2 linked regions of the Coturnix japonica genome follow. The protein of the gene in region 1 interacts with the protein of each later gene in a pairwise test. Links are inferred from orthologs where the notes say so. Each region holds a gene or a part of one and is shown on either strand. Other genes may lie near its edges.

Evidence for each region.
Region 2: the proteins of PRMT3 (region 1) and RPS2 interact in binary tests that used the Homo sapiens proteins (3 or more experiments, as listed by UniProt). The link is inferred for Coturnix japonica from reciprocal best matches to the Homo sapiens genes PRMT3 and RPS2.

What each region holds. Positions count from the first base shown.
Region 1 is NC_029520.1:1,703,760-1,707,407, forward strand, and holds part of PRMT3 (protein arginine N-methyltransferase 3), read left to right. Parts: intron 1-1,497; coding exon 1,498-1,619; intron 1,620-3,386; coding exon 3,387-3,486; intron 3,487-3,648. UniProt on the Homo sapiens protein: Protein-arginine N-methyltransferase that catalyzes both the monomethylation and asymmetric dimethylation of the guanidino nitrogens of arginine residues in target proteins, and therefore falls into the group of type I methyltransferases.
Region 2 is NC_029529.1:6,101,631-6,105,573, forward strand, and holds RPS2 (40S ribosomal protein S2), read right to left. Parts: upstream 2,550-3,943; 5' UTR 2,524-2,549; coding exon 2,368-2,523; intron 2,247-2,367; coding exon 2,157-2,246; intron 1,931-2,156; coding exon 1,823-1,930; intron 1,570-1,822; coding exon 1,396-1,569; intron 1,317-1,395; coding exon 1,157-1,316; intron 845-1,156; coding exon 753-844; intron 659-752; coding exon 578-658; 3' UTR 534-577; downstream 1-533.

The sequences.
Region 1 (3,648 bases):
ATCCCTGGTGAGAGGCCATATGTGATCACTGCAAGAATGTGTTGGCTGCAGACCCGTGTCCTTAGGCTAATTGGTGATCATTCTGCTTGACTTTCCCTTCCTCAGATATGTTCCAGCTTGTACATATTCGCTCCCTTGCCTTTTTCTCCATCCCCATCCCCTGCCTAAGTCTAGATGAGTTCCATCTGGGTTTTTAAGTGACCAGGGCAGCTGTCCAAATGTTGTCCATTTTGATTTCTTTTTCCCCATTTGCAGTGATTGCTCTTTTTCATGCAACTGCGTGTCAAGAGCGTTCTTTTGCAGAGGTTTATTTTTGGCTCTGACTTCCAGCTATCATGGCTCAGCAGTTCTGTTAACTAGCGTGGTCAAGTACTAGAACAGATAATTCTGGGGGCATGAGATTTCAACAGCTGCAGGAACATTCTATTCACTTTCTACTCCTGTCTCCAGAAGATTTCAGCCCAGGCACTTCTGTAGCCTTTGCTACACATAGACCATTTCACAACAGTGGAATGTGTGCTGAGGAGAGCTAGTGAAATAAGTTGGTACTCCTTTCTAATGGATGATCTTTTTGATTACTGCCTCTAGTAGTTCCAGTAGGTAAGGCATGCCAGCATTATGGATTACAAGGCATTTTCTTTCTTTCTGTGTTCTTTTGAAGCATGTGTACCTCTTAAGTATCATACTGAGTTTTTGTAGGTGAAGGGAAGAATGAGACATAGAAGGCATGGAATTATGATTTCAAGTCAGAAATGTTAACACGTAAGACAGGAACCATTGTGTGAATTTACTTTGGAGAAGAACAACATAGAAGGGCATAGCCAATGAGGAAGATAAAAACTGATAGTTGAGAAAATGCATTCTCAGTGTTGAGAAGTCTGTGGTTAAGAAATAGATCTGAGTTTTCAGCGACTTCAGATGTTCTTTGTTGAGCAATGTAGGAGAATTAATTTGTGTTTTTTACACCTGTTGAAATTACTTAACAGATTTACTTAAAATATAAAGGCTTTTGGCTTTGTGTATGTTTATGTATACAACATCATCTTGTGCTATAGTTGGAATTAAGATACTGGAAATAATTCAAGTTTTTCAGTAGACTTAAGGAGAAACCATAAAGTCTGAATGTGCTAAATTCAGTTGTTAGAATATTCACTAATAGTTTTTCAGGCTCTAATTTTTTTCTTTCCCCTGTTTATGTAACATTTAGTTGTTTCCTAAGTAATTATTTCAATGATTTTTCTTGTGCAAATGATCTCATCAGCACTGGGAGCTAGTCTGCCTTATTACCTGTCTGTAAAAGTCAAAGGATCCTGTAGAAGATCTGAAGTCACAGTTGTGATTTGACTTGGATATCTGAATGTAATAGGAAGATCTGATGCTACCTTTTCTCTTTTTCTTCCATTAGAATGTGTTCTTTCTCTGATGTAGAAGGACATGTAGAAAAATCAGAGAAAAAGAAATAAATGGAAGTAAAAATATGTTGCTTACTCATTCCAGGTTGTTTTGGATGTTGGCTGTGGTACTGGAATACTCTCGATGTTTGCTGCCAAAGCAGGTGCAAAGAAAGTAATTGGAGTAGACCAATCTGAAATCATTTATCAAGCCATGGACATCATTAGGTAGGAAAGCTCTGGGAAACACATATGGTAAATATTGCTGTAAAAAGCTATTAAAATATTTTTCCTAATCTTGTATTTATGACACAGCTGGTTATTATTTCTACAAACTCGTGTTGGTTGCCTATGTTCAGATTGTTCACTGGCACCCCTTGTTAGAACAGAATGGAGAAAAGCAAACAAGAGTTGATTTCTAACCTTCAAGAACCAATCTGTCTTGCTATGTGGGATTATTCCAGCTGAGGTGGCCTTTGCCTTTGCAGAGTTCCTATCAGCTCATTTCTACAGTCTTTACCCTGTAATTTATCATCTACTTTCCTCAGTCGAGGTTCATCTAGAAATCTTATAACTCTGCATTCTGTTCCATCATCTAGGTTGCTTAATTGGTGTCAGATTTACTACTGAATCTTGAGGGACACCTCTGATACCTGGCTGTCACTTAGTTGAGAAACGTAATACAAAGTCTCTTTAGAATCTCATGGTCTGGATGGTTTTCCTCTCATTTAATAGTTTATTTATCCATTCTGTGTTTCACTAATTTACCTTTGTGGGATAATATGGGAGGCTGTGAGTTTGTGTGAAAATAAAACAAAGTTGTCTGAGCACTTAAGGATTTTCATTCACATATCACACTCAGATGCTGTAACCTTTTTCTGTTAAATAAATACCTGCTTAAGAAAAGTGCCATATTAAGTACTAGTTGCAACGTGGAGTGCATAAATTGCATCCAAGTTGGTTTTTTTACTATTTGTAAACTCCTTCTTTATATGATACAATTGCAATTTAAAATGTAATTAAAAAAATACTGAGGATAAATACTGGTTTATTATGTCCTTGTGCAGTGTCATTAACAATGTTATCTTTACATCCTTTTTGCTCTTAGAATACTGATACAAGTCATGGCTCTTTAACATTTTACTTTTCCCTTTGAACTTGTTTGACTCCTGTTTACAAACTAAGTGTGTTATTAGTGATGAACTGCTACTCTTCTAAGGGAAGGCTGTCCCATGTGAAGGATTTAATTGATATTTCCTACAGCCCACGTGTTCAAGCAGTCCTCTGACCCTTTCCCTCCTTTTTTTTTCCTGATCTTTCTCCTATTGTCTTCTAAATGGAATTTTTAATGTGATTACTCATTTGCATTGAGAGTCAGTATGAGAGAGTAAGATGTCAGGCAGTGGGGGGAAGGGGCACAGATGGGAGCTGCAGCAGATAGATAAATTTCTTTGGGGATAGGTACCTAGCAATTTAACTAGCATGCAGTTTTAGCTTCAAAAATACCTTCCTCCTTTTACAGAATGTATGTGTCATTCCTTGTTTGTAATACTGGTTACTCAAGTTTTTAAACATTGCAGATAATTTCAGCAAAAATCCCAATGAGGACAACACCTTCGTTGTGGAGTAACTCTAATCACTCCAGACTTACAAAGGTCAAAGAAAGAACTAAAACAGCTCTAAATAAAAAGGACTATCATTGTAAATTGGCTTCTTCTTTCTTCTCCTGGCCTCTGAAGTCTGTACATTTGCATGCACAAGATGTTGGAGATATGCAGTTCTACTGCCTGCCTCCTTTGCCTGACATTTAATGTGCTGAAATTTTTGGAGACCTATAGAAACGTTCTGTCTGAAACATGACTAATGAGAATAATATTGTCTCCTAGCCCTTTTTTGGGGGAGGAGGGAAGAAATGCCATGTAGAGACATCAGTATATCTCTGTTGACACCATCTAATGGAAATATGAACTAACTGGCTTATTTTATGACTTGCAGATTAAATAAACTTGAAAATACTATTACATTAATCAAAGGAAGAATTGAAGAAGTAGATCTGCCTTTGGAGAAAGTGGATGTAATTATATCTGAATGGATGGTAAGGCGTATGAATGTTCTTTTCAAAGCACTGTTGTTCTTAGGGAAAAAAAATGCATTATTTCATTATGAAAGTCTGAAAAATGATTCTTGAAGGATTGCTTTTTAAACCAACAAGACGTTGTGCTTATAGCAGTGTTTTTCATAACCTGGGAGGTGGAAC
Region 2 (3,943 bases), on another chromosome or scaffold:
ATGGAATTAATTAGCACCTCCCTCATTGGTGCTTCTCTCAAATCCTTGTGTTACACCTGTGAACTGTGATGTTCTATAATAAACTTGCAAACCCAAACATCTGCCGTACCATCCATTAGCACAGACTCATTCTTTGCAGAGGTATGTAAAAGAATCTTAGAATTCTTCCTTTTCCAGCTCTGCATTCCAGTTGGCTGCTACCACCCTCTGAACAAAGTCAGCTCCAGGCACCCATATATATGAGCTGTGGAACCCTGGGGGTGTCCCTGCTGGATTTCTCCACTACCACAAATCATTAGGGAGCACCCTCAGAGTAAATGTGCTGTGAAAGGAGTATAAAGGCACATTATATTCCCCTCTTTTTAGTTACAAACCCCGCTCAGGATTTAATACCTGATTAACAAGGGTTAGTGTAAAACATTCTATTCTACCCAGCAGATGTTCAGGCTGCTTCCCACAGATCTGAGCCTACTTAGATCCCAAGCACAGATGTAACCGATCTGCCCAACGCACAAAGCATCCAATCAAACCAATTTCTTGTCCACTGTCCACTTTATTGTCTTGTACAAAAACCACTTTAAGTAGTTGCCACAGCAGCTGCCTGGGTTCTCTGCACTGAGACTCTGGTGTGGGTCTTAGCCAGATGATCAGTGAACTCCTGGATAGAAAGAAAAACAGCATTTCATTTATGTACACCACTGTCATAACCTTCTCAGCATCGTAACCCACTGAAGGAAGAGCTGCATGTTTACCTGGTAAGGAGATTTGGTGAATACAGTCTCTTTCCAGAGGTCAGGAGTCAGGTAACTGTATGTCTTGGAGATGGCATCGAAGGTGGCCTTAGCTATGGAAACAAGTTAAACATTGCACGTCACTGTTAGAGAAATGAGCTCCTGTACACACTTACACAGCTCCAGAAGTGTAGAATTTCAGAGGGAACAGAGAGACCAGAAGAGGATCCCTGTGTTATACTCTTAAAATTCAGTTTCCTTTCTCTCTCCATATACGACAGTTACACTACTTCACAAAAGTGCAACCGCGCAGATTGGGAGATGAGGAGCTTCCAATTTAACACGGGTTTAAGTTACTTCCCTTTCAGTAATGAAAACAGCAACACACACAGAGCTGAACTACAACACAATAACCTCACACTTACCAAAGTTGCCCAGCGTGGCAGTGCAGCCCCTGGCTGATGTATAACAGTCATCAATTCCAGCCATCATCAGCAGCTTCTTAGGAACAGGGGCAGACACGATGCCTGTACCTCGAGGTGCTGGGATCAGACGCACCAGGACAGACCCACAGCGCCCAGTAACCTACAAACACAACAGGTTACAGCTTCCACAGCACACACACAACGTGACTCACATGCAATGCACAGCGAGATGCTCTTACCTTGCAAGGCACAGTGTGAGGTTTGCCGATCTTGTTCCCCCAGTATCCTCGTCTCACCGGGACGATGGATAATTTAGCCAAAATGATGGCCCCGCGAATAGCTGTAGCTACTTCTTTAGAGCATTTAACGCCCAGACCAACGTGGCCGTTGTAGTCTCCGATAGCAACAAAAGCCTAAAATCAAAGGGAAGCTTTCAACCGAGGTTTTGCCATACAGGAGAGCTCTCTCAGCACAACAACTCAGCAGGATCTCATCACAGATAACCAGAAGCACATACTAATATTTAACAGCTACAGCACACTACAATGAAGCAGCTATTAAGTAGCTCCTACAACTTATGAAGTTACAGAGTCTGGTAGGGTGATGCAATGGGCTGCACAGAGAGGCTGTGGATGTCCCTGAAGAATAAAGACATAACAAAATTACCTTAAACCTGGTACGTTGACCAGCACGAGTCTGTTTCTGGACAGGCATGATCTTCAACACCTCATCTTTTAGAGAAGACCCCAAGAAGAAATCGATGATCTCTGACTCCTGTAAGATTCAACCATTTAATCACACATTGCTAAGCTGCAATATCCAAATAACACAGAAAAAACACACAAATCTCGCTGCTCTTATCTACAAACCGGAGTAAAATCAATAGCAAAGTGGCTCAACTTGAGCTTTGTAAGTAATAAATAAGGCAACTAATGCCAGCTTTACAGTTCAGATCCTGCTACAAGCTGCTCACCAGCTCCGAGCATCCCCAGCATCTCACCTTGATGGGAAGGGAGAAGAGATAGATCTCCTCCAGAGACTTGATCTTCATATCCTTCACCAGGCGACCGAGTTTGGTGACAGGAATCCACTACAAAAGAAAGCAGTAAACAACAAAGGGCTTTTACAGCAGCTCCTATGGGGTGGGGGGGCTGTATGGCAGCACTACAGGGCACAGCCCGACATAACCCTGCCCTGCTGCTTCCACTTACTTCCTTATCCTCCGCTTTGCCCCCTCGGGCTCCCCGTCCTCTCCCTCGGCCCCTTCCACGGCCTCGCCCGCGGCCCCTCAGCCCGGTCCCGAAGCCGCCCCTGAATCCCCCTCGGGCGGCTCCTGCTCCTCCCGCAGCACCGGCGTCGTCCGCCATTTGCTGTATAGAAAGAGGTGAATTAGTCAGAACATCGCCACCATCAGGTCGAAATAACCACACGGCGAGGCCGCAAAGCCCGGCCGGGATCCATCCGGAGAGGTACGGCCGGCCCCGAGCCGCAGGAGGCGCCGATGGGCGCGGATGGAGCGGAGGCCGCACGCAGACGCCATTCCATCGCCCGCCATACTTACGTGTTTCAATAGTAGAAGGCCGCCACTTACCGCCGGTAGGTATTTATACCCAGGAAGTTCTCGCGAGAACACCTCTCTGAAGTGTCAACCCCGCGCGCTGAATGCGGAATACACTACAGCGCAAAGGGGGCGCGATCTGCTTACTTATACAGAGTGCGGGGCGGGAGGGCCGGGCGGAAGCTGTGCGCATGCGCCGAGCTTACGCATGCGTAGGCTCAGAATATAAAGCTGCGCACACGTGGAGCTGCGCTCCAATGAGCTCGGACGTAAGTGAGTGGGGTTGTTTGCGTGGGGGTGGGTGGGCGCAGCTCGTTCGGTTCTATTTGATTCTCTTGGCTTTTGGCGGCGTTTAGAGCTGTTCAGGCTTTGTTGAGGGCCTGGCTGTAGGCAGTGCTGATTGCAACACTGGGGGCCCTGGGTTCGAATCCCCTGTGGCGCAGGTGGTAGAAGTGCCGCTCTGCTACACAGAGGCTCGAATCCCGGGGGTTGGACTCGATGATCTCTAAGGTCCCTTCCAACCCGCACGATACTGTGATACTATGATAGGGGGTGGGTACTGAATGAGGGGCCTTTGGCACGGTCTGAAAATCACCTTTGGTCTCCCGTGGCCTCCGGTGAGATAACGGTGCCGACAGCAAAGGGAGCAGCAGAGCGTATCGCCCACGGTGACGGTGTGTGGGCAGTGAAACCCGTGTTCCCATAACGGCAATGAGGGGCGGCTGGGGCGGCATTGTAGGGTGATGTGGGCTGTGTGTGAGCACCGTGTGTGAGCTCCGAGTCTTCCTGCAGGTGGAACAGCCCGGCTGGGATCCTCCATGTGAAGATAGGACCAAAAGCACCTTCATGTGAAGGGCGGATGATGATTTAGGGTTGGAATACTAAGAAAATGTGCGGGATGTGGATAAAAGAACGCTCGTACCAACGGAGCGGAGTGCTTTCAATAAAGATTGACTCGTTTGAACGCTTATTCGAGTCCTGTTGTGCTTTCTTACAGTCCACAAGCCCTGTGTGGGGTCTGAAGGGTGTGGGATGGTGCTGTTAAACAGCCAGGACGGGCAGGAGGCTGCTCCATCCGCCGTCCATTCGTTAACATCCATTCATTAACCACAACACACACACAGAAGCAGCTCCGTACCACGTGACACTGAGGGAGGGCGCTTCCTTACTCTGCTCTTACGTCATCAGAGTGCGCCGGAAGTCCCGCCCTTTAAAACCCGGAAGTGGCC